7 linked regions of the Cricetulus griseus genome follow. The protein of the gene in region 1 binds, or shares a complex with, the protein of each later gene. Links are inferred from orthologs where the notes say so. Each region holds a gene or a part of one and is shown in the gene's direction. Other genes may lie near its edges. The genes, in order: Strip1, Strn, Stk26, Strn4, Stk24, Ppp2r1a and Stk25.

Region 1 (4,291 bases):
TTTTTTTTGTTTGTTTGTTTTTTGACAGATCCTCCTCAAGTAGTACACCTCAGTGCAGAGGTGAGCAGGTAACCCAGAGTAAATGAGACAGCTACAAAATGAAGGCAGAGATGCCAGGGTTTTCTGGTTACCTTTGGGCCCAAATAAGGAGTTAAGGCCTTTTCAGCAGGAGCAGTTTCTAGGTGCTTGGTACATACATTACCCCCTTCCTCACAATTTCTGTATGTTAAACTTATTTTCATTTTCTGTGTTTTATTTGCTCATTTGGTTATATCCCCCATGTGACTGTAGACTCCACAAAGACTGGAATCCTGTCTCTTTTGTTCACTATTATAGCCTTAAAGTCTGTCAGTGGTTTGGTGACAGAGACACAGCTTCACACTATCATCTTTAGCAGTCCACGGAGTTCCTCCAATCTTTCAGGGACATCAACTCAGGCCAATTCAGGATTAAGTTGTTTTTTTTTTTACGTGTATGTTTTTTTTTCCTTTTTCTTTTGTATGTATACCTCAAACCAGAGTTTGTGTCTTCAATGCAGAAAATAATTTCAATATTATCCAGTATGAAGCAGAGTTATGAAGATAATCTAATATAGACTTTAGGCATGAGGGTTAGGAGAAGGTTGCTTAAAGACATATCCACACTTGGCTATGTCCTCTTCAAGGGAGAGATTTCTTTGAGTGTCCTAGTATTAGCCATAGGTACCATTTTGGTGGCTCTCAAGTTACAAAGCTAAATCCCCCACTCTGGCCAGGCAGTGGTAGCACAAACCTTCTTTATTCCCAGTCCTCTGGAGGCAGAGGCAAGTAGTTCTTTGAGTTCAAAACCAGCCTGGTGTACAGAGGGAGTTCCAGGGCAGCCAGGACTACGAAGAGAAACCCTGTCTCAAAAAACAAAACAAAACAAAACAGAATCCCCTCCCCCCCCACACTCCATCCCGTGCATTATTTTCTCTTTTGATACTAAGATTCTAACGAGGCTCCAGATAAAGCAAAACCAGGAGTTCCTAGGGTTGCACAGAGGTTTGCAGTGCAACTTGCAGACTCCTACAAACTTGCAGGTTTTCCAGCTGAGGGATGGGGGTGGGGAGAGCCACAATCAGTTGTTAATTGTACTGAAATTCTTCTCTGGTAGTAAGAGGCTTCAACTAGACCCATGGGTAAGGGATTCCTTTCTCTACTGAGGTCTTCTGAATTTCCCCTTTCATTTTGCCTCACCTTGAACGGGGCTGTGACGACAGCGCAAAGCGATGTAGAGTAAGGAAGAGACCACTAAATAAACCGAAGGAGTGAAATGTCACCGACAGAAAGGTCCCTGTAGGGACTCCCGCGAGCCCAATGGCACGTCTCTCGTTTAGTTTCCCTGGAAGGAGGTGATTGGCAGTCACGGCTTTCCACACAACACCGCCACACTGAAGATGGCGATTGGGGAAATTTCCTGGAGGAAATCACGCGAGAGTTGCCTGACGGAGCCCGTCCGAGAATTGAGCCGGGGGTGTGGAGCAGCCAAGATGGAGCCGGCCGCCGCCGGTCCCGGCCCTCTGATTGTGAACAACAAGCAGCCCCAGCCGCCACCCCCTCCGCCGCCCGCCACCGCACAGCCTCCTCCCGGGGCGCCGAGGGCCGCTGGGGGCCTCCTGCCGGGGGGCAAAGCTCGCGAGTTCAACCGCAACCAGCGCAAAGACTCGGAGGTCAGAGCTGCAGGGGGCGAGGCTGCCCCTGGGCGGGTGGCAGAGGGGGTCCCGGGCCCGGGCAGCTTCCGGGCCCAGCCGGGCTTCCGGGAGGCTTGACAGGCGGGCTGGCGGCTGTCATTTGACCGAGACCCATGACGCTCCCGCGGCCCCGGGGAGGGAAGCCCGGAGCCCTGTCACTGACTCCTGTGCGGCCGGCCGGCCCGGGGAAGGTCCGGGAGCCGGGGACAGCCGGCCGGTCTCTCCCGGGGGCGTGACCCGAGGCACAGCCCTGGGGTCCAGAGGAGGCGGTCTGCTCTCAGCGCCTCATCATTTCCGGCCCCTAATCTTGGGCGGGCGGTGGGAGACGCCAGTTGGCAGCGAAGGGACCTGAGAGAGTTTATTGGGTGCTCAGAACAGGGCTTGTATCTCTCTCTAATGCTGCGTGGCCCCAGGTTGTGATAGAAGCAGAGAGAGCACCCTGGGTTCCCTCCGAACTTTAAGTCTGCAGGATCAGGCCATGGGCAGACCCTGACAAGCGTTTTTGTGTGCCCCGTGAACCCAGTGCTGAACTGTTAAGGATCAGAAGTACACAAAGGGCGCAGGATTCTCCTTCTTGCTAGTGAGCTGTGTTTCCCTTTGCCCGCGCACTATGGAGCCGTTCACCTCGCCCCAAGTTAAAATTCCTCCCACTGCTTCCGTTTGCAGAATTCATGAATGAACACACACCCGTGGCAGCATTTTAGGGCTTCTTAATCAGCACATTCATTCCCAGAGCACTTACTATGCAGTCTCCACCTGAGACAACTCCCAGTGTGATGAGCAGTCAGGCGCTTACTGAGAGGGAATTCCTCATTATCCAAATTTGATGCTCCAGCTTGAACCAGAGACTAATGATACTGTCTTTAGACATCAGTTCCTTTCATCGTTTTTTGTTGCAGGCTCAAGTCCTGCTAAAACATGTTGCAGATGAACAAGCCCAGAGTAGAGAGGTTGAACTTAGAGTGGCCTTTTTGAAAAAACAGAAGTTGAACCCTTTATTGTGGAACAATGGATCATCAGTGGCTACTTCTCAGTGACCATTCAAGTATGGAGGAGTATGAAAGTTTTAAGTTTGTGAGCACACCTTCTTTAATGACCAGACTTGTTTAGTTTTTCTGAATAGGATGCTGAGAATCGATTAATACCCACAGGCTCTTTTGGGGGTGGTGGTGGAGAGGTGGTTCAGTGGTTAAAAGCAGTTGCTGCCCTCAGAAGACCTGAGTTTGGATCCCAGCACCCATATTGGGCAGCTCACAACTGCCTTTAACTCCAGCTCCTAGGGATCCAATACCCTCCTTCTGACCTCCAGGGGAACTTGCATGCATACAGATAGACACATAAAATAAATCTTAAAAAAAATGTTTTACCTGCTGGCAAGATGGCCCAGCAGGTAAAGAAGCTTTAAATTTTCCTAAATACATAGCCTATCATGCATTTTATTATTATTTTGTGATTCTGAGAATCAAATTCCAAGCCTTGTGTAAGCTAGGCAAACATTGTACTGCCAAGCTACATCCTCAACCTCCCATAGACATTTTAATTTCTCTTTCTACCCTTTAATTTCAGCAGAGTCGGCATCTAAAGGCCCATCAAATAGAGAGATCTATCTACTTGCATTAGAGATGCTTATGCTGCACACTTCCTCTAATGACAGCTGAAATCAGTAGTTTGGGAATCTGATCAGTGTCTAGACAACAGGAGGCTGACATCGAGGAGAGAGAGCTCAATATGTGCTGCATTAATTTTGTTAGTCTTCAAAAATAGCGAAGGTAGCCTAGCATGCTTCTAGTCTCAACACACAGGAAGCTGAGAAAGGGGGATCAGAGATCAAGGCCAGCCTGGGCTGCACAGTAAAACCTTGTCTCTACATAAATACATTGGGAGGGGGTAAGAAAGGGTAATGGATTAGGTTATGAATGTGATCACAATACATTGTATAATATGTATGAAGTTGTCAAAAAAAAGTCATAAGAAAAAGTTCCAAGCAGATTTTTTTTTTTTTGTCATTCGCATCCAGTAAATGAAAAACTCAACCTCAGCAATACATGCTACTGTTGATTTTATTTGTGTTTTGGTGGTACTGGGATGTGAACCCAAGACTCTGCACATTAGGTAATCATTCTACCACTGAACTATATACCTAGCCTAGAAACTCAGTAGCTTGTAAAAGTGTTCACTGTTGTCCATTAATAAGGAGTAGAGTTATTGTTTGGGGGTATATTATGCTATTTTGTCAGTGGTCATTATTATAAGGTTCTCTCTGACCCCACCCTCCATCTAACTTGCTTCCTCCCCCTCACCCCCAATGCTGAAGATTAAGCTCAGGGCCTAGCACATGTTAGGCAAGGTCCCCTACACTGAACTGTATCCTCTGGGTCTTCCAAGTACATTTTAATCAAGATGGTTTTATCCATTTTTTTCTTGCTGTTTCTCTCTTCCCAGTACCAGTTTTCCAAGATGGCATGTTCTCAGGAATCACCTATCCCTAACAGATTCTCAGTGCATTCTCTCCTGTGTGTGGGAAGAAGGCCAATCTGTTCCGTTTCTGCTTTCTCTGTCTGTTAGTTTTCACTGAAAATT
Region 2 (3,500 bases), on another chromosome or scaffold:
TTAACATTAAAGCAAAACTATTTAATCCCTTTATTCAAATATGCTAAAAAACTTTAAACTTAAAATATATATTGACACATGAATTTCTATGGCTTTTAGAACCATTCTCAAGCTAGTTAAACTAAAATGTTGAAGATAATTTGTATATCGTACATTAGAAATTATTTCCAGACTAAAAACCAATGTCGATGTATTTTTTGGGCATATTATGTTATAAAATTAGTATGTTGGGATGTAAAGATTTTTTAATTAGAAAGGTAGCCAAGACTTCTGTGGAACTCATCTCCTCTTACATTGTGATTAGAGTTTAGCCTTTCAGATCTAAACCTGCACCATTTGACTGGAATAGTATTCCTACTAGCAGAAGCAATTGAGTTCCCTGCTCCTGGGGATTGATAACTATATTTAAATATATAGCACATGGGCTTTTTAAATGAAGAAGTGTTAACTCTCTGGGGAGAAATGTGAATGATTTGCACTGACGATAAGGAGTGTAGACTAAGGCCAGCACATTTTATTTATTCTTTTCACTTGTTATTTGGTTAAAACAGTAATATGAGGACAAGTGAAGACCTGTGATAAAGAGGAAAATGAAGTAAAGCTTTGAATTGGTATAAGAAACATTAATTTATAAGCCACCAAAATATACTTTTTAATTGAGCTGTTACCCACTGTAAACTTCTTGTTGTTTTTAATTGGTCTACTGTAAGTATATCCAGTCAAATTGTGTACTCCAGTCACATTATCTTTAATTTTCTAGGAATTAGTTAAAATAGCTTAGAAATAGTTGTATTCTTTGCTATGGTATGTATAGGAAATACCATAACGGACTATGGGTAAGATTTTCCCATTCTTAATTAAACTTGTAACAGGAAAAACTACCGAAGATCTGTTTCAGCCTCTATCCTATATAAAACAGTCAAAACAGGGATGTGGGAGAATGAAGAATCAAAGCCCAGGTAAGTGACAATAGGGCATGAGACTTCACTTTGGGTTCCATAGCTGCAGGATGTAAGGCAATGAATGTAACTTAATTTAAACAAGCAGAGACGTTATTTTTCAATTGAGTTTACATTTGGTTCATGATCTGTGATTGTCTTCATTTAGACCAATAGTCATTGGGTTCATTGTAGATGAATATGACTTTTAATGATACATATTGGACATGGCATTCTTTTTCATGTAGTGATTCCATTAACTTAATTTATAAAACATGTATTTAAATATCATTTTTTTCCAGAAATGATAAACTCTTAAACTTTGAAAACCTCGAAAATAACTACTTCTTATTGATCACTCTAGTAGGACATTTTAAAGGTGAATGTTGGCAGATGTGAAAAAGTTTATTGTACAGTTTTTATGAAATGAGTGATTCTGTTTTCTCTTTTGTTTTTTCTCCTCTGCGCCCCCCCCCCCTTTTTTTTTTTTTGGCTAGGGCCCAACAGGTCAAAACTACAAGACATGCTTGCTAATTTGAGAGATGTAGATGAACTTCCTTCATTGCAGCCGTCTGTTGGCTCCCCTTCCAGACCCAGCAGCTCTAGGCTCCCTGAGCAAGAGATCAGGAGGGCAGATGAAGGTGAGCACCTGGACCTGTGGCTGGTACAGGCACCTTAGAGAGCACCCAGCCCGCACACACTGCTTTCTTAAGTCAGTGGGGATGACTCCAGCTTCGGGTGAGAGGCATAAATTTTAGAACTGCTCTTAGTTTCTGCTTTGGAATATGCCCTAGCTCCATTGACAAGAGTGGTAACAGGCTTATTCAGTTCAGCCTTGAGAAAATTGAGTCTAAAATTGGTACTAAATGTTCACTGTGAAAGTCAGCATACTTAATTTATCATTGATTTTAAAAATGAAGGAACACCAGATATGGTGATACATGCTTTAATCCTAGCACTCAGAGGCAGAGGAAACCAGTTCTCTGAGAGTTTGAAGCCAACCTGTCTCCAGAGCAAGTTCCAGAGCAGTCAAAGGTGGCATAGTGAGATCCTATCTCAAAGCAACAGCAAAATGGAGGGAAAGTTACCTGGTTTCTTGCTTCCCATGTTTCCATTGCCTTTCAAAAGTCCTTATCCACTTGCATATTTTTTTAAACATAATTACAGCCATTATGTAGAATAGCTCTGTTTTGTTTTATGTTTAACATAAAATCATATGTTGATAATTTTTCAAGCTCAGCTTTAATGCTACATATTACACTTGGTGATAGAGCATGTTCCTATCACACAGAGCTCAGTTTTAACTCCTGCACTAGGGTAGAGGAGTGAGTGAAGGAGACAGATGGTGTCCCCTTGATGTCATATTAGAATTCCAGTTAGTTTTTTAAAAGCTCTTTAAGGGCATCAGTATTTAGTTACCCAAAGCACTGTAACCTGTTTCTTAACTTCTGAGGCTAAAGAGAACAAGATGCCTACCTTCTTAGAGACATGATGTGCCTGTTGCTTTCTCTGACTACTGACTAGACCTTCTTAGACTATTAGTTAGTACTAACCCATGCTGTGGCCAGTCTCAGGAGACTTACTGTTTCAGGACAAGCGAATTTATAGAAGTGGGCTGGGCAATGGTGGTGTACAGCTTTAAACCCAGAACTCAGGAGGTAGAGGCAGGTGGATCTCAGTAAGATCAAGGCCAGCCTGGTCTACAGAGTGTAGAGGCAGGTGGATCTCAGTAAGTTCAAGGCCAGCCTGGTCTACAGAGTGTAGAGGCAGGTGGATCTCAGTAAGTTCAAGGCCAGCCTGGTCTACAGAGTGAGTTCCAGGACAGCCAGGACTGTTACCTAGAGAAACTCTGTCTCAAAAAACAAATGAGAGAGAGAGAGAGAGAGAGAGAGAGAGAGAGAGATTAGAAATGAAAAACAGAATAAACTAAAGACAACTGCTGAATACCTAGTCTCCCAGGCACACATGAAGTATTTGATATTTTGGCCTGAAAATTACTGTTTGGACAGTTTCCACTATGCAAACACTAGGGTTCTTTGAACCCTTCAAATGACATGCAGCATTTAGATGAGGCTCATTTTTATTAATGCTACTCTTGTGTGTATGTGGTTTGATAGTGGTTTAATTTATATTCTATTTTATTCTACAGTAACTGTCTTTTTCCTGATGAAGATTTTGAGTTTCTGTTACTACTACTAGGTTTTTGTCACCATTTATCCCTGACTAGCCTGAGCTGGTTAAATAGACCAGGCTGGCCTTGAGGTTCCTCTGCCTGTGCCTCCAGAGTGCTGGGACTAAAGGTGTGCACCACCACACCCAGACACCACTACTGTTTTAAGGCCAGCTATTAAAAGCAAGCAACTATTATTTAATGTCTTCAACAAGTACCTATTATTAAACATGATTAACTGTAGCACTGAAAAACAACTTTTAAGTCTGTTGTGTACTGGATATAATTAACTCACTTCTTTGTTTAAAAATAACATCTCTTTAGCAAATCTTTTGAATTGTTAAATTCATCTTAAATATTTGTAGTCAGTGAAGCAGCCTCTGGAAAAGGCA
Region 3 (3,023 bases), on another chromosome or scaffold:
TTTGGGGAAGCTGAGAGATACTCACTTTGTTTTTCTTTGCCCCCTAGCTGCCAATGTCTTGCTTTCTGAGCAAGGTGATGTTAAGCTTGCTGACTTTGGAGTTGCTGGCCAGCTGACAGATACACAAATTAAAAGAAACACCTTTGTGGGAACTCCATTTTGGATGGCTCCTGAAGTTATTCAACAGTCAGCTTACGACTCTAAAGTAAAGTATTCCACATGCAGATGGAATTAATTGGATATGGCCTTGTCAATAAGCTTTTTAATTTTTCCTTGCTTCACAAGTGCTTCTAAAAGAAATTATGTCGTATTTTGTTTCTTAATCGTAAATCCCTTTGGTGTTGGTAATATTTGAGCCCTATTTATTTCAATGGTTTTTCAACCCACTTGGAATAAAATCTAGAGTCCTCATAGTCACATATATGGCCACTGATGATCTGGCCATTTGATGTCTATCCACCCTTGTCTTCTACCACTGTCATCTGTACTCTCAGCTATTATGGCCTCATTGTTCCTCAAACACAAGTACATTTTGACCTCAGGAGTTTTCTCTTGCTTTCCCCTTTGTCTGGAATAGCCTAGCTCCCAGTGAGCTCTCTCTAAACATCCCTAACCATCCCACATAAACATGTAGCTCCTTTCTTTGCTTTGCTCGATATTCCCTTATTCTGCTTTTTGTGTCTTCACAGAACTTAGTTCCATATGACATCATGTTACTCATTTATCTTTCCCTCTTATTAGAATGTAAGCCTCTTCAAGGCAAGGACTTTCATCTGGTTTATTTAGCACTCAATTAGTGTTGTGCCTGTACAAAATATGAGATTTAAAGTGTTAATTCATGAATTCCATTAACTAAAATTATAATTCACCACATTTCTTGATATGTCAATGTGATAAAAAGTTTGTGTTATTGTTTCTGCTTTAGGCTGACATTTGGTCTTTGGGAATTACTGCTATTGAACTTGCCAAGGGAGAGCCTCCGAATTCTGACATGCACCCAATGAGAGTTCTGTTTCTTATTCCAAAAAACAACCCTCCAACTCTTGTTGGAGACTTTACTAAGTCTTTTAAGGAATTCATTGATGCTTGCCTGAATAAAGATCCATCATTTGTGAGTATATGCTGTTATTACCACTGGTGGTTTCCAATTGTTCTATCTACTTCTAACAAAGGTGGTGTTTCCTATATGGAGAATACAATGTGAAAAACATCTGTGATCCACCCACGAAGCTGGTTTCTCCTTCTGTATTGCTAATTCCACTCTGTTCTTAACCAGATTCTTGGTCTTGTTTTTTCCTCCCTGACATCATCTTCTTAGTTCCCAGCTACCTGATAATATTCTATTTCAAGAAAAAAGTTTGGGGAAATAATTCATTAGCTTTCTATTACTTACTTAGTAAAGTAGGCATGTGCCATTAGTGAGGGAATTGACTAAATTTATTACATGTCTTAGTGTTGTTAAAATAAAGCTGCTTTTCACTCCTGGTGATTAAATATACATGAGCACCTTTCTAAGCTGGATGTAACCATTTTATGTTGACAGTAAACATTATAATATTAATGAAATACTGAAGGGGACATATTCCCTACAGCACTTGCTGTTTGCATTCATGTACAATAAGAATTAGTGTTTGATAGAAAAGCATATACTAAGATGTGGTCAGATAATGACAAAATTAGGGATTCATAAGATGTGCAGATAATAACAAAATTACAGCAATCTTGCTCATTTGCATGATTTTTCAAAAATTACAGTCAGTGTAATAAAGTGTCTTAAATGTTGTTTTGACATTTTTAGATGGTTACTTTCTAAGTCCCGCTATTGCTGAGAAAGCTTTGTTGAGTGGCATGCTGGTGAGGTATCCTAGCATCTGTCTACTGTGCTTTAACAAATCAGGCTGCTAAAACAACCAATTTCAATTGGCTACCTTGACCCACTTGAAGAAATAAAATGGTCAGTTTTCCTATTACATTTTAATTGTCCTCCTGTTCATAGATCCAGTTTTGTAGATTTCAGTGTAATAATTCAAATGGTGTTTTACTACCTGTCTCTCCCCAAAAGATCCTCAAAATAGTCATGAGTCCTTTTCTTTGTGTGTGTCTGTGCCTTAGCGTCCTACAGCAAAAGAACTTTTGAAACATAAGTTCATTGTAAAAAATTCAAAGAAGACTTCTTATCTGACCGAACTGATCGATCGATTTAAGAGATGGAAGGCAGAAGGACACAGTGATGACGAATCGGACTCCGAGGGCTCTGACTCGTATGTACAAGTTACTGTTATTTTTATGTTGGCAGCCTGTTTTCATATGCTCTGCCTTTCGCAGTGACCTAGTGTGCTTGCTTTCAACTAAGTTATAAATCACCGTGAGGGCTCATTTCAGCCACTGTGAAGTTTCTTGATGGTTCATGGAATACAATGAGCTTGGAAACACACTTTGGAAGAGAAAAGCTCTGCTTTTAAATGGTCTCGGTCTAACCCCTAGTGGATACTTGAGTATATTACAAAATTTTGGAATACGATTTGATTAAAGGTGTTCTATTAGTTCATGAGAAGCAATAAGGAGCTATTTTCTCATACAGTGATTACAACTTGCAAAACCCTTTGGAGAACTGCTGTCACAGCCCTTCCTACTTCCTGGTCCCAGACCAAATTGATCAGACTGATCCGTGAACTGTGACAACTATTTACTTATGTATGGTTTTTACCCTATGGACAAGTTAGTCTTTTTGAAAAATGCCAGTATTTCTGCTTCTGTGTGCTCATCTTAACTTGAGTAGAAGAATTCAAGGGCTGAACCAGGATTTAGTCTTTTGGTATGTAGACCTCCACAGAGGTAGCACCCTATGTCGTCACAATATTCTCAGGCACCTGCATTTATGAGAAATTGCCCAATATTTGAAATGAATAAAATATCTCAGTATGTAGTTTGTGCCCAGTTTAAGGCTTGTTAACCTTAACTGCCCATGAAAACTTCTTGATGGAACTTTAAAAACACAAGGCATTCTACAGGGTTCGTGATTC
Region 4 (3,500 bases), on another chromosome or scaffold:
GTGGGAGCTGAGCCCAGGCTCCTACTCTTGTCCCTGAGTGCCAGAAGTAGCTTCCTACGCCTCCCAGCAACAGACGCTCTGAAGGAAGAGTGGGCTGCCGCCTCCACCAGCAACCATAGGGACACAGCTGTTAATGCTTAACGCCCCCGCCCATCCCTGACCTAACTCCTCAGAAGGCCATAGCCAAGTCAGGCCATGCTGTCCCTGTTTGAACTCCATGGGTTAAAAATGGCTCCTCAGCTTCTCTTTCTTTTCTTTTTCCTTTTCTTCTTTGTAAGGTAGAGTCTTAATCTTAGCTCATACTAGACTTGAAGGTGTAGCAGTCCCTTTGCCTCAGCCTCCCAAGTGCTGAGATTATAGATTGAGCTCTTTTATGGGTAGTAGACCCGGAGACCCTGGAGGTGGGCCCAGCCTGTCCTCTCTTCTTATTGAACACTGGCATCGCTGTGGGGGAGGCCCTGAAGCTGTTCCTGAACTGGGGAGGGAGACACAGCATCAGTGACCCTCAGCCATGCTATCTAACTTTCTCTTCTGTCCCAGGCTCAGGTGGCTTTCCTCCAAGGTGAGAGGAAAGGCCAAGAGAATCTAAAGACGGACCTGGTGCGGCGGATCAAGATGCTAGAATATGCACTAAAGCAGGAGAGGTGAGAGCTGCCCCTGCCAGAGAGGTCACTGTTTCAGATAGGGTGGCAGGCTGCCAGCAGAGGAAGTTTCTCCACCTTCCTCTTCCCGTCATCCCCAGGAGCGGGGTGAAACAGATTGTGGTGGGTGGATTCAGCTGCCAGCAGCAGCTTTAGGGACTTTGGCAAACCTGTGTGCACCAATTCTGGACAGCTGCTACCTTGCTTATTCTTGCCACAGTCTGATGGTGTTGCTGGCTGAGGTTCTGGGAAGGAACTGAGGCTCTTAGAGCTGGTACTGTGGGGCAGGGAGTGAATGAAAGAGGCCTGGGACTTGGGCTTTCTGAGGTGGTCTTTGCCTTGTCTGCTTTTTTGTCTTGTTTTTCGAGACAGGGCCTTTCTGTATAGCTCTGACTGTCCTGAAACTTGCTTTGTAGACCAGGCTGGCTTTGAACTCGTGGAGATTTGTCTACCTCTGCCTCCCAAGTGTTGGGACTAAAGGCGAGCGCCCCCACCACCCAGCATCGCCCTGTCTACTCATCTCTACTCATTTGTTATTTGCTGTTTTAGGGCCAAATACCATAAGCTGAAGTTCGGGACAGACCTGAACCAGGGGGAGAAGAAGACAGATGTGTCCGAACAAGGTACCTGCACTTGCACCCTCCCTTGGCCACGCTGGCATGGCAGCTGCTTGGCATAGAGAGAGACGTTGCAGATGGCCTCCTGTGCTTTCTTACTTGGCTCCTTGAAAAGCAGCAGTGGCTGTAGGGTGGAGTGGGGTAGAGCTGCATGCTGGTGTGTCTTCCCATCAGTCCTGTTTCAGACTGCCCAGCCCCACCTGCCTGCCATCCTGCTGTCCTCAGGGCGTGATGGACGCCCCAGCAGCTCCTGCTTCCTCCTGCTAGGGGAGTGAGTGGAACTATTTATGGCATGCTTTGGAAAGCGTAGGAAAGACGTCACTGAAGAGGTGGTGTTTGCACTGGACTGTCATTCAGTCATTTACCCTCAAAAGTTGATACATGATGTGTTTGTTGGCTTCCTGTCACAGGACAGGGGCACGGTGAAGAGCAGGATAGATGTAGTCCTGTTCTGTGGGCACTGGAGGAGGGGCCAGATGCCCATGGGAGGGAGGGGATGGGTGTTTTCAGGTGAGCACTAGTATCCAGGCAGTGCGGGTAGACGGTGTGTTTGGCTGTGCCGCTGATGCTGGGAGCTTGGTCTAGGGCTTTGTGAAGCCCTTGGCCTCGGGGTCAAGGGAGGGAGGTCATCTTCTCCTGCCAAGATGTGAGTTCTTGATTGGTGTGGCCCAGGCGTCTATCCCAGCCTTATAGATGCCCAGTGGATACCCGATGAGCAATGCACAGAGCAGGTTTCCCAGCCAGCGTCTCCTCACCCTGAGAGGTGAAAGCTGTTTCATGGGAAGCAGGCTTTCGTAGGTGCTCAGAGCTGCTCTAGGAAGTGCAGAGCCGACTCGACCCCAGCCTGCCCACTTTGTAGAGCCAGTCTGCCCACTCCCTGCATAGGAAGGAGCAGCCAGCCATGCGTGTGGAGGCACGGCTCTGTTATTGGGGGCGGTTGGCAGCGGCCAGTCAGAAGCCTAGCAGTGAGGAGAGCATCCAAGAGAGGAGTCACTTGGTGTGGGAGAGTGGGTGGAATGCACTCAGGAGGTGGGGACAAGGGCGGTGATGGTGGCAGATTCAGACTTGATGGGAGAGGATGGAGGGGTGACAGGAAAGTATCCATGCCCCGACTGAGACGGCCTCCTCTCTTCTCTCTAGTGTCTAATGGCCCTGTGGAGTCGGTCACACTGGAGAACAGCCCGTTGGTGTGGAAGGAGGGGCGACAGCTTCTGCGACAGTGAGTGAGGGGGAGGGGTGGGACAGGATGGGGCATGAAACACACAGCATACTTGGCTCAGAAGATAAGCCCAAGGAATCCACAGTCCTTCCTGTCCCCACTGGGACATGAACTATCAGGATCCCACACTGCCGTCACCCGACGGGAATTAGAGGGAAGACTTGCAGCAGGGGCCACCTTCCCACACCCCAAACTCAACCCTGCATAGTTCTCTGACATTTCCTCTTAAAAGAATAATGTTAGGGGAAGTTATTTTTTAAAGAGTAAAGTTAAATTATAGCAATAGTAGTACCTGGGTGCTGTGGGTTCAACCCAGGTTCTCAGAGGACCTGGTGAGCCCTGTTGACTTGCCCTCTGAGAGGTGAGCTGTCCTATGTCTTAAGAGAAGAGAGGCCCAAACAGAATTGGTGGACCACCAGCCTCCAGCCAAATCAGGATTTTTGTTAAAGATTTTAGCATTTTAGGATACCTGAGAAGTAAATAGTACCACTTCTGAGCAAATATGACCCTGTACACATTGGCATCTCCACCATCCACCCCAACACTTGGAGAGGTGCCCCGAGTTGAGAGTGGTGTGCTCTGTACTGTGTTAAGAGCCGGGACTCTGCTTTTACTGTTCTTAGGTTTTGTAATGCTTTGACTAAGTATTATCAAATCCTCTGTATAGATTAGCTAGGTTATATAATGTTCAGAATCTCATGGGTGGAATGTGGCTTAAGGGTTGAGCCCTTACTTACTGTGGGCCAGGCCCTGGAGTCCATCCCCCCAGCACCATAAAAATCACCACCACCGCGGGGCGGTGGGCGGTGGGCGGTGGAGGCGCACGCCTTTAATCCCAGCACTCGGGAGACAGAGGCAGGCGGATCTCTGTGAGTTCGAGGCCAGCCTGGTCTACAAGAGCTAGTTCCAGGGCAGCCTCCAAAGCCACAGAGAAACCCTGTCTCGAAAAACCAAATTAAAAAAAAAAAAAAAAAAAAAAAAATCACCACCATGTAATAGGCACCCTTCTGGAAAGCCAGAGAT
Region 5 (3,500 bases), on another chromosome or scaffold:
TCAGATTGCTACCATATTACGAGAAATTCTGAAGGGACTTGATTATCTACACTCTGAGAAGAAAATCCACAGAGACATTAAAGGTAGGAGCTACTCTTGTTTTCATTTCTTTGAAACACCTGAAGTGGCGGAGCCTTCCGTACCTCTGTCCTGCCTACTCTGCATCAAGCTGAACTGTTGTGAACCTCTGGGCACCTTGCTATTACAGGCCCTTGTGCCCTGTGGGGAAAGCATGCCTGGACTCCCAGGGTGAGCCTGGGTGGGTATAACTGTAATGATGTCCCCCTGCTTGGTTGTCTTGCAGCTGCCAACGTTCTGCTCTCTGAACATGGGGAAGTGAAGCTGGCTGACTTTGGAGTAGCTGGCCAGCTGACCGATACCCAGATCAAAAGGAACACCTTCGTGGGCACTCCCTTCTGGATGGCGCCCGAGGTCATTAAGCAGTCAGCCTATGACTCAAAGGTGAGAGAGAGCCTGTGCTGTGGACCCACGACATTCAGATGTCTGTCCCCTTTCATTTTTGCATCCGTGTCTTTCCTTCCGTACCTGAGGTAGGTTGTAGAGGTAATTCTGTGAGCTTCCTTCTTCATCTCCCGCTGTGCTATTGGCTATCTTGTTCTTCTGGCCTTGGTGTGTGTTTGATCTGGTGGGGCCAGGAAGGAGCAGATACGAGGGTGGGCATAGCTTCAGCCTTCTGAGACATGCAGACCCTGGATAGATGGCTCGTGGCAGGCAATGCCGCAGCACAGGAGCACCAAGGTGGGTGGGATCTTGGCACAGTGATGAAGGGCAGGGCCTGGACAGAGCTCAGCCTGCTCTGTATAGATAGGGCTTCTAGAGAAAGAATCAGAGTGTAGTGGTATCTTGTTCCGACCATGGACTTGGGGTGGTGGCCACACCTTAGGGTGTGGCTTCAGTGTGTGACGATGGACGTGACCCCTTATAAGGAAGAGGAGGGGCTGGCTCGTGCTCTCTGAAGTTGTGGTTGGAGCATCCTTCAGGGCAGAGGCTGCCCACTGCATCAGAGAATCCACAGAGAAGCCCATGGCAGAATGGGGCAAGCATCATTCTATAGTGACTGCACCATGTGTTCTCATTTTGGTCTCAGGTCCTTACTCCCAGAGGCTGTGAGACAGCAGGAGACTGCAGTCCTCCCACAGTTGCTTGTTTTTCAGCTTCTGTACCTCGTGTTCATTGTTTTTTTGGTCCTTTAGTTTTTTGAAGCCTTGTAATAGGCCACTCCATTTGCTCGGGTCAGCGGCCTGTGCATAGTAACAATGATCATGGCAGAGAAGTAGCTTTCCTGAGTCCCAAACTTCACAACAGCAGCAAAAATTTAACTCAGGGATGCTCATAGGTCGAACATTGTTTTTTGTTTGTTTATTTATTTACGTGCGTGTGTGCGTGCGTTCGTCTATGTGAATATGCACGTATGAATGCTGATCCTTGGGAAGGCTGGAAGCATTAGGTCATCCCCGAGATGGAGTCAGGCTGCTCTAAGCTGTCTGACACAGGTGCTGGGAACCAGACCAGGATTCTTACGAGAACAGTGTGAGCTCTGAAATGTGTAGCTGTCTTTCCAGCCGCCAGTCCCCATCCCCTATGAAGACGGTTTTGCTCTGTTGCTGGAGTCTGACAAACTGGTGAGCTGCCTGCTTCAGCCTTCTGGTGTTGAGATTGCAATGATGTGTTAGCATGCCAGGCTCAAGCCTTTGTCACTCTTTCTTCTCTCTCTCTTCTTTTTAAGATAGGACCCTCCTCCATGTGTAGCAGCTTTCCTGGCTCATTAAATGGTGTGTGGAACATAGGCTAACTTGCCTTTGGGACCTTGGGTGGCTCTTGTAAGGTGTCATGGCATGTCATGGTGGGTGAAGGTGCAGCTGTCCCACGTTCTGGCTTGAGAGAACTCAGAGACTGGTGATGTGGTAGCTCGGGTAGGAGCTCTTTCCCCGGCATCCAGAAAGCAGCAAGTGTGCTTCAGGCTAGTCAGTTCTGCTCTCTGCATTTGTTGCCCAGGCCTTTTCCCTGAGTTCTGTCATACAGAAAGGTGGGTGTATTGTCCACAGCTCACTGTCAGTGCTCATGTCTGAATTTTGGTAGAAGAGGGACTAGAATCCAAGTTCCTTTCATTGCAGGTCATTCTCTTTCAGTTGCACTCAATTGGCTTTTCAACCATGGCCCTTAGGACTTGGAACCCAGGCCACCCATTTCTGTTTTACACATAGCCACCCCTTTTTTGTTTGCCAGAGAGCTCTCCTGATCTTGCTGTCATTCCAGAGCATCTCTAAAATGACTTTGTGGTACAGTTCAACCTTGGTTGTTTTGGGCTATGACTGTCCTCTCCTTACCTGATTTTCATTCGAATCCCCAGGTGCCACACGTCGTAAATGTAGTGATAGGCAAGGTTACGTTTGCTGGGATTTGGTAGAATCAGTTCATTAAGTTAATGGGCTATGGTAATGTAATTATTTGTTCTGAGGTAGAGTAAGTAATGCTGCTTGTGGAATGTTTGGGAGACGCCTTCTGTCTTCCTACTCACATTTGTTAGGGTAGGTTGGGTTTACACATGGATTCTTATTGTGGTCTTTGATTATGTGCCAAATGGCTTGGTGCTCATGGGCTCAGTGTCCAGGTTTGTCAGTGGGCTTCAGATGCACAGGGGGACTGCACAGGCTCCAGGTGCAAGGGCAGCTTAGCCAGGCTAGTGCTAGAAGGACATGGGACGGCTGGCAGTTAAAGCCTTGTCACATGGCCACACATCTGTCACCTGGCTGGGTTTAGATATTTCATAGTTTTGGGTGTTTTTGGTTTTTTTTTTTTGGACAAGGTTTCATTATATAACCCATTTTGGTCATGAACTTTCAGTTCCTCTGGCTCAACCTCCTTAGTGCCAGGATGGCACCAGGTTGTTCTCGGTTAGGACGATCCAAAGAGGACAGGTGAGAGTCAGGCCTTCCTTAATGCTCCTGTAGGTTGCTTTCCTATGTGTGGCTTTCTTGCTTCTTGTCACCTTCATGGTTCTGACTGGTACCCTGCCGTAAGGGTTTCTGGAACTTTCAAAGTTACAATGGCAAGTGAGTCCACTCCAAGTGGTTAAAGGTCAGCAATGTCCGAGTCCTGTAGTCACCTGAACAGGCCTTCTCTTGCCACGTGTAAGAGAGAAGGCTGTCCCTTCAGGGCCTGGTGATGAGTTCACAGGGCAGTGACGTGAGCAGAGGTGTCTCCCTCCACTGCAGGTCCCCATGTCAGCTGTTTGCCAGCCTGTTGTGTTGTTTGTTTTGAGTTGCTGACAGCCCTGCTCACTGTAGAGCAGCCCTAAGACTGCTGTGTGTTCCCAGTCTATCTGATGTGTCTTTCCCGGTGTGTTCTCAGCCTGGGTCCCGTGGACTCTGACATGAGACTCAGACTCAGCACTGGGGAGCCCTGCTGCCTAAGCCCATGTACCAATCACTTCAGTCAGTGCACAGTGGGTTCCTTAAATGGTGACTGTAGTGAAGGGC
Region 6 (3,500 bases), on another chromosome or scaffold:
CAGCTCCAGAAAGCAGTAGGGCCTGAGATAACCAAGACAGATCTGGTGCCCGCCTTCCAGAACCTGATGAAGGACTGTGAGGCCGAGGTGAGGGCCGCTGCCTCCCACAAGGTCAAAGGTTGGTGCTGGCAACCAGAACGCAGCTAGATGGGTGGATGTCGGAGAGGCAGCAATGGGATTGGGCCGTGGCGTCTCACCAGCACCTTCCCATCTCTGTCCACAGAGTTCTGTGAAAATCTCTCAGCTGACTGCCGAGAGAATGTGATCATGACCCAGATCTTGCCCTGCATCAAGGTAATGGCGTACTTGGGTGTAGGACTTGAGAATGCCAGAGAGGTGAAGATTTGGTTTTCAGTACAGTCCCATCCAAGCTAGATTTGCATCCTTCTAGGACACACAGGAACTGGGTTTTAACCATCATGGGTTTGGCTGTAGGCAAAATCGTGAGGGTTACACAACTGACCCTAAGGACCTAAGGGGTGTGTTTGCCCCTCAGAGGCCACCGAGTTCCCTCATCCACAGAGCTTGGGGAATGGGGCAGTGGCTGCTGGAAGCAGGGCTCACATAGCAAACAAGAGAGGACTTGTGAATAAGTGCAGTGCATGCCTGAGCTGCCCTGCCTATGTTACACGTGGGAGAGTGTGGTCTCCTCAGGCCAGCAGGGCTGAGGTCTGTGCAGCCACTCAGACACTGAGCTGCATCCTTCTCCTCCCCAGGAACTCGTGTCAGATGCCAACCAGCATGTCAAGTCAGCACTGGCTTCAGTCATCATGGGCCTCTCTCCCATTCTGGGCAAAGACAACACCATTGAGCACCTCTTGCCACTCTTCTTGGCTCAGCTAAAGGATGAGGTAATAGTACCAGGAAGGTTTTCAGCTCTTTGCAGAGATGACAGACTGCAGTTCGCCGGGTTGACCAAGAGTATTTTAGAGTCTTGGCACCACACAGCACACACCACACTCCCTTCTCAACGACAGGTGTGAGTGTCTGCTTGTTCACTCTTGTTAGACATGCTTCATGCGCCCTTCACATTGCACTCATCCTTCCCCTGAGTGCTGAGGGTATAAAAAAGACCAGGACAGTGGTGGTGATATTTACAGCCCCACAGAGTGTTCCCGTGGAGAGGAACAGACGTAGTTCCATTCAGATACTGTCGGTACTGGGAGAGGTGCGCCATGGTTTTTAGGCTCATGTGCCACAAAGCCCCTAATACAGTGGCATAGAAAGTTACCATTACTCCTCTCGCATCGTCCCAGCTGGTCCTGTGGTGAGGTATTAGCTTTGCTGGCCTGGCTTTCTTGGTCTGAGGTCACAGCTATAATTTTATCTCTTGGCTCATTGAAGGGCTTCTCTCTAGCTTGTGTCTTCTACATGTTCCATTGACATAGCCAGTCAGGTCACCATACTTGTCTGTGCAGGTGGCCTAGACCACAGAAAAGAAAAGATGTCACTGTGGTGACAGCTCAGGGAATTGGATTTGAATATGTAGACAAACGCAGTGGCTGAAAGAGATCTTTTTAGGAGAGTGTAGCCAGTATTAGGGAGAGGTGAGAGAAAGGGCCAGTGTTCTTGGGGTGCCAGCCCAGAGTGATGCTACCCATTCTAATTCTTTTTTTTCTGTTTGTTTGGTTTTTTGTTTGTTTGTTTTTAAGATTTATTTTTATTGATTATGTATAGTGTTCTGCCTGCATGTATCCCTGCAGGCCAGAAGAGGGCACCAGATCTCATTCCAGATGATTGTGAGCCACCATGTGGTGGCTGGGAATTGAACTCAGGACCTCTGGAAGAACACCCAGTGCTCTTAACCCCTGAGCTATCTCTCCAGCCCCCTTCTAATTCTTTAATGGAGCACTTTGATAGAGTACCCAGTAGCTGATTCTATAATGGCAACCCAGTTCCCAGGCTGGGACATAGATTTCCTCACAGGCTGTTCCTACTCCAGAAGTCTTTAGACAAAGTTAGTGAAGTCACTTGAAAGGTCTTAACATTCGCAGCTCTGGGTCCAGTTTCTATTACCACCACCATAGAAAAAAAACAAAACAAAACAAACTCTTCTGGGTTTGGGGTTTTCTGGAAAAGTTGCTTTCAGTGGCCTCTGTGAGGTCTATGCGTTTGTTCCTATAGATGTCTCTGCTCTGTGGCATGAGTGGGAATGGCTATGGACTGTAAATCAGGGTTCGCACTGCTTGGAGTCTGGCAGTTCTGAGACTCATCACATGTCCTCCCTGGTCTGGCATTAGCAGTTGAAGTGATGGGAATGATAGAGAATGGGTCCAGACACTAGCAACTCGGGCACATCGAGGGGCTCCCATTTCACTTTGCAGAGCCTCGGCTGCTGGGAGACTAGATGGCTGTTTGATTATTGCCCGTCACAGGCGATACCCAGAGGGGAGCTCTTGCCTGCTCCTGACACGCTCCTAGGGCCGCCGTATGTTTTGTGTTCTCTTAACCCGCCTGTCCTCTTCCCAAGTGCCCTGAGGTACGGCTGAACATCATCTCCAACCTGGACTGCGTGAACGAGGTGATTGGCATCCGGCAGCTCTCTCAGTCCCTGCTCCCCGCCATTGTGGAGCTGGCTGAGGATGCCAAGTGGCGGGTGCGGCTGGCCATCATTGAATACATGCCTCTGCTGGCTGGACAGCTGGTGAGTGAGGAGCCAGGTTTTGTTGGCCCTGAGGTGATAGATTTGGGGGTCTGATCTGGTCTGGTCATGGCCCCAGGACCAGGGCTGTGGTGCAGTTACTAGGGGCTTGAAGCCTTGGTGTAGGCATTGAGAGCTGCCTGTGGGGAGGACTGGACTCGGGAACTGGGCCCTCAGCAGATGCTGCATGGAGTTTAGGCAGAGGAAGAAGGCTGGTAGCTTTGACGGGTTCAGCATTGCCTGATTCTCTGGGACCCCTTCCTCCTCCCCTCCCTCAATTCCTTCTCCCTACCCCTCAGTCCCTTACCAATCTTTTTTTTTCCTGCAGGGTGTGGAATTTTTTGATGAGAAACTCAACTCTTTGTGTATGGCCTGGCTGGTTGATCATGGTAAGTACGCCAGCAACACAGTAGGAGGGGTTTGTAGCCATGGCAATGAACAGAGCTGCCATGTTTCCTTGCTATCAGTGCTCACTGGGACCCACTCTGTTGCTGTTAAAAAAAAAAAAAAATCTTGAGAGAAGTGAAGATGTGGGGTGGGTTATCTGGACTGGAGTTGGAGAGCCACCAAGCAGAAAGGCATGGATTTGAACCCTTCTCTTTGATGAAGCATAAGCAAGTCCCTTCCCATCTTGCAGCGTTACACTCATGTGTCTCTCCAGCCCTTGAGAGACTTGTTCCTAATAAGTGGATAAAAAAGAGTCACTGTTTTTTCTGTCAGGCAGTTTTAAGTAGTATGCATTAAATAACTTGAGATACAATTTGCACAAGCAGAGCCTCAGTTAGCATGCCTGAATAATGAGGCAAATGGAGTCTTTCTGTTTGGGTGGCCAGAAGGTGCTGTATGAGAAGAGACAGGG
Region 7 (3,278 bases), on another chromosome or scaffold:
AGCTAGCTAGGAGTCATGCCAAAGCCTGGGTCTGCTGGTGCTTAGGTGCAGGCCTAATGAGAACTGATGGCTTATCGTTTGGGAGTTGACCTCTGGTGTGTACTCTGTCAACCTGCTTAAGCCAGAGACTGAGGAGACAGGGAAGGAATCGTCTTATCTCTTCCATGTACCCAGTGCCTCGCTTTCTCCCTTGCAGCCTACTGAGCCTATCAAGAGACAGCCAAGGTCCCAGTGCTTGTCCACGCTAGTCCGGCCTGTCTTTGGAGAGGTGAGAGTTGGGCTGAGCTTATGGTCATGTGGGGTAGTAGCATTGTTCTTCAGAGGTGCTCCCTGCAGAGCCATGGTATGGTGTTCTCGTGGGCCCTGAGCCTGGGCTTTATCTATTTGACTTCTGGGTCTGCTGCAGCTGGTTCTGCACAGGCTTGTGTGTCCAGTTTCCTGAGAAGGTCTGTACCATAACCCACTGGGAATAACTGACCTGGCCAGGGCCCTTTTACTAAAGTCATCTGGCATTACAGTACTAGTGTTTTGTACTGTCCAACTTCCACGTGGTTCTTCTGTGGAGGAAGACAAAGAATCACTGATGTTGGGTCAGTCCTAGGCCAGGGAGGTGATTCCTTGGTGGTCACGTATGTCACTGTTGCCTGCTGAGGGAGGTCAAAGCCAACATCAGAGATACAGTGCAACAAGCTGGGCGTGGTGGCGCACGCCTTTAATCCTAGCACTTGGGAGGCAGAGGCAGGCGGATCTCTGTGAGTTTGAGGCCAGCTTGGTCTACAGAGCAAGTTTCCAGGACAGCTAGGACTGTTACACAGAGAAACCCTGTCTCAAAAACAAAAACAACAGAAAGAGAAATGCAGTGTAGGCTTACAACAGCACCTAGATCCCAGAGAGGAAGTACAGGATGTAGGTGAATGGACACAGTGGGCAGAGTAGGATTTGGCAGTGTCCTTAGCCAGAGTAGGAAACAGCCACTTAGGGCTGTTATGGGCATCAGACAGTGATGCCCAGGGCCAGGAAAGTGACTCCTTAAAGTAGACGTGCCATCAGGGGCTGAGGTCCCAGAATCGGTTACCAACGCTCCGCATCTGATCTGGGCCGTCAATGTCCTTGCCGTGTGCTCCGGGACATTGTACTCATTTCTAAGTCAGACTGGGCCCACTTGATTTGACTTCCTGAACTTGAGTCTTTAAGAAGCCATTTGTCCTGACCTTTTGAGAACCCGGGTCTTGGGAGAAGGGCCACGAGAGTCCCCATCAGCAGGGCCACATGAAGTGCTTCCGCAGGTCTGTAGATCTTCTGGTGTGGGTCTCAGGTAAGATATCAGTTGGGTACCTGTTCTCTCTGCAGCTCAAAGAGAAGCATAAGCAGAGCGGTGGGAGCGTGGGGGCCCTGGAGGAGCTAGAGAATGCCTTCAGCCTGGCTGAGGAGTCGTGTCCTGGTATCTCAGACAAGCTGATGGTGCACCTGGTGGAGCGTGTGCAGAGGTGAGCACGGTGCCCTGACCCAGGTAGGGTATCCTCGTAGGGGACTCATTCTTGGGAGCAGCTGGTCCTCCTCTTTCAGGGTTAGCACACACTCTCAATTGTATCTTTGGAGTTAGAGAGGGAGAGGCAAGTGGGCCTCTTGAGACTTTGAGCTATGCATGAAGGTTGGACTCAGTCTCAGGCAGTGTTTGGACAGAATTCCACAAAATGGCTCAGTGACAGAGCATTGTGTACAGCTGACATCTGACCTTTCTACTTGGTGGCTTCCTAGAGGTTCTGTGCCCCAGGAACAGCATGGATACTTTGTAAGCTGAGGACTTGCCTGCTATTGATGGGGAGCCTTGAGCTGACTCCCGTCTGTGAAGGAACATGCAGGGCAGCCACTGGCCCTTCCTTGGCAGCTCCACAGGCTCAGGGGTCCCAGGCTGTTAGAGGCAGGTGTACCAGTCCCTCCTCCCATAGCCTCTGGATCCTGTTACTGTACACTAAGAGACCCACCCTGGTGGTTCTTAGCAGCAGCAGCAGGGTTTGGTCTAGTCAGCACTGAACCTGGGACCTGAAACTCTGACGGTATCTTGTGAGATGCTGCTGGGAACTGCACATGTGAAGTTCGTGTCCAGCATGGTAATGGTACCTTTCTCTTACAGGTTCTCACACAGCAGGAACCATCTGACATCTACCCGCTGAACGACGGACTGATGCACTGCTCTTACAGAGAGGGAGAAGAAGGCTTTTTGTTTTGAGCTCTAAAAGGACTGACTGGGAAGCCCTCTTGTGCTGCGTCACAATTGCAAAGACCTGCCAGCCTGTAGGCTTCACGCACCAGGTTTCCTTCCTTCGGCCCGCCATCGTGTGCTGCCCGCACAGCAGCCGCTCAACACCCGTGTTCTCCTGGGCTCACTGAAGCTGCGGCAGGCAGCCAGGAGCCCTTGAAGAACCAGGTAGCAATTTGGGAGGCGCCGGTGTGACCTTCTAGAATCCCGGGCCCCTGCAGCTGCTAGACTAAGGATGAAAGCGACTACTGGGCAGCTCTGGCTCTCACCCTACACCAGGGATGTATTGTCCTGGGGCTCATAGGGGTCCAAGATGGTCACAACTTGCCTTGTGGTGTCAGGTCAGGCACTGTGTGATCTCATGGGTACTCTGAATCGTTCAGAGTATTTTGGGCCTTTCTTTTTTCTTTTTAAAGAAATTGAACTTGCTAAGTATTCTGACAGTGTTAGTTTTCATAGAGCATTGAAAGCCCTATCATTTCAATAAAGACCTGGATTGGAGACATTCTGATGATGGAGCCTGGCCAGATGGGGGTGTCTGTATCCTTAGCGTCCCTTCCAAATGTTGTCATATATCCTGATAGTTTCTTGTGGCCTGCTGGAGAACAAAGTAAGGCAGAGAGGATGTGGGTGGGGATATGTCCTTTTATTTTAAAGTCACATAGTGAACAGGAGTCATAGGCCTGCCCTAGTTGATGAGAAATACTAGGAACTAATATGGAGAGGCTCCACCCTCCCAGGCCTGGTGGTGGTGGTGGGGCCGGGATCTTTGGTTTCCTCTTGTCTAGACAGTGTGTGGAGATGGGAACCAGAGTAGCTTTGGCCGCACTCCTGTCTTGCTCTGATCTGGAGGCTAACCCTGAGCTTATCACATAAGCCTGAGTATAGTGCTTGTGTGAATTTGGCTATTGGTGCTACAGGTTTGTGGAAGCATCTGGTCCTGTGTTGGGGGCCAGTCAGCCAGGCTGCACTCAGAACAAACTGAGGAACCCTCATTTCCTTTTCCTGGATCTCAGAC

The links.
Region 2: Strip1 (region 1) and Strn share a complex: the UniProt entries of both Homo sapiens proteins name them as parts of the core of STRIPAK complex. The link is inferred for Cricetulus griseus from reciprocal best matches to the Homo sapiens genes STRIP1 and STRN.
Region 3: Strip1 (region 1) and Stk26 share a complex: the UniProt entries of both Homo sapiens proteins name them as parts of the core of STRIPAK complex. The link is inferred for Cricetulus griseus from reciprocal best matches to the Homo sapiens genes STRIP1 and STK26.
Region 4: Strip1 (region 1) and Strn4 share a complex: the UniProt entries of both Homo sapiens proteins name them as parts of the core of STRIPAK complex. The link is inferred for Cricetulus griseus from reciprocal best matches to the Homo sapiens genes STRIP1 and STRN4.
Region 5: Strip1 (region 1) and Stk24 share a complex: the UniProt entries of both Homo sapiens proteins name them as parts of the core of STRIPAK complex. The link is inferred for Cricetulus griseus from reciprocal best matches to the Homo sapiens genes STRIP1 and STK24.
Region 6: Strip1 (region 1) and Ppp2r1a share a complex: the UniProt entries of both Homo sapiens proteins name them as parts of the core of STRIPAK complex. The link is inferred for Cricetulus griseus from reciprocal best matches to the Homo sapiens genes STRIP1 and PPP2R1A.
Region 7: Strip1 (region 1) and Stk25 share a complex: the UniProt entries of both Homo sapiens proteins name them as parts of the core of STRIPAK complex. The link is inferred for Cricetulus griseus from reciprocal best matches to the Homo sapiens genes STRIP1 and STK25.

The regions. Positions count from the first base shown.
Region 1 is NW_023276806.1:49,527,713-49,532,003, forward strand, and holds the start of Strip1 (striatin-interacting protein 1), read left to right. Parts: upstream 1-1,491; 5' UTR 1,492-1,510; coding exon 1,511-1,690; intron 1,691-4,291. UniProt on the Homo sapiens protein: Plays a role in the regulation of cell morphology and cytoskeletal organization. Required in the cortical actin filament dynamics and cell shape. Part of the striatin-interacting phosphatase and kinase (STRIPAK) complexes.
Region 2 is NC_048600.1:5,360,587-5,364,086, forward strand, and holds part of Strn (striatin), read left to right. Parts: intron 1-872; coding exon 873-959; intron 960-1,435; coding exon 1,436-1,579; intron 1,580-3,500. UniProt on the Homo sapiens protein: Calmodulin-binding scaffolding protein which is the center of the striatin-interacting phosphatase and kinase (STRIPAK) complexes.
Region 3 is NC_048604.1:19,058,861-19,061,883, reverse strand, and holds part of Stk26 (serine/threonine-protein kinase 26), read left to right. Parts: intron 1-47; coding exon 48-205; intron 206-925; coding exon 926-1,111; intron 1,112-2,112; coding exon 2,113-2,261; intron 2,262-3,023. UniProt on the Homo sapiens protein: Serine/threonine-protein kinase that acts as a mediator of cell growth. Modulates apoptosis. In association with STK24 negatively regulates Golgi reorientation in polarized cell migration upon RHO activation.
Region 4 is NC_048602.1:11,451,216-11,454,715, forward strand, and holds part of Strn4 (striatin-4), read left to right. Parts: intron 1-537; coding exon 538-644; intron 645-1,190; coding exon 1,191-1,264; intron 1,265-2,398; coding exon 2,399-2,477; intron 2,478-3,500. UniProt on the Homo sapiens protein: Calmodulin-binding scaffolding protein which is the center of the striatin-interacting phosphatase and kinase (STRIPAK) complexes.
Region 5 is NW_023276807.1:271,175,076-271,178,575, reverse strand, and holds part of Stk24 (serine/threonine-protein kinase 24), read left to right. Parts: coding exon 1-83; intron 84-304; coding exon 305-462; intron 463-3,500. UniProt on the Homo sapiens protein: Serine/threonine-protein kinase that acts on both serine and threonine residues and promotes apoptosis in response to stress stimuli and caspase activation.
Region 6 is NC_048602.1:19,078,518-19,082,017, reverse strand, and holds part of Ppp2r1a (serine/threonine-protein phosphatase 2A 65 kDa regulatory subunit A alpha isoform), read left to right. Parts: intron 1-3; coding exon 4-118; intron 119-223; coding exon 224-294; intron 295-716; coding exon 717-851; intron 852-2,470; coding exon 2,471-2,644; intron 2,645-2,969; coding exon 2,970-3,030; intron 3,031-3,500. UniProt on the Homo sapiens protein: The PR65 subunit of protein phosphatase 2A serves as a scaffolding molecule to coordinate the assembly of the catalytic subunit and a variable regulatory B subunit.
Region 7 is NC_048595.1:445,066,409-445,069,686, reverse strand, and holds the end of Stk25 (serine/threonine-protein kinase 25), read left to right. Parts: intron 1-196; coding exon 197-268; intron 269-1,350; coding exon 1,351-1,487; intron 1,488-2,134; coding exon 2,135-2,174; 3' UTR 2,175-2,778; downstream 2,779-3,278. UniProt on the Homo sapiens protein: Oxidant stress-activated serine/threonine kinase that may play a role in the response to environmental stress.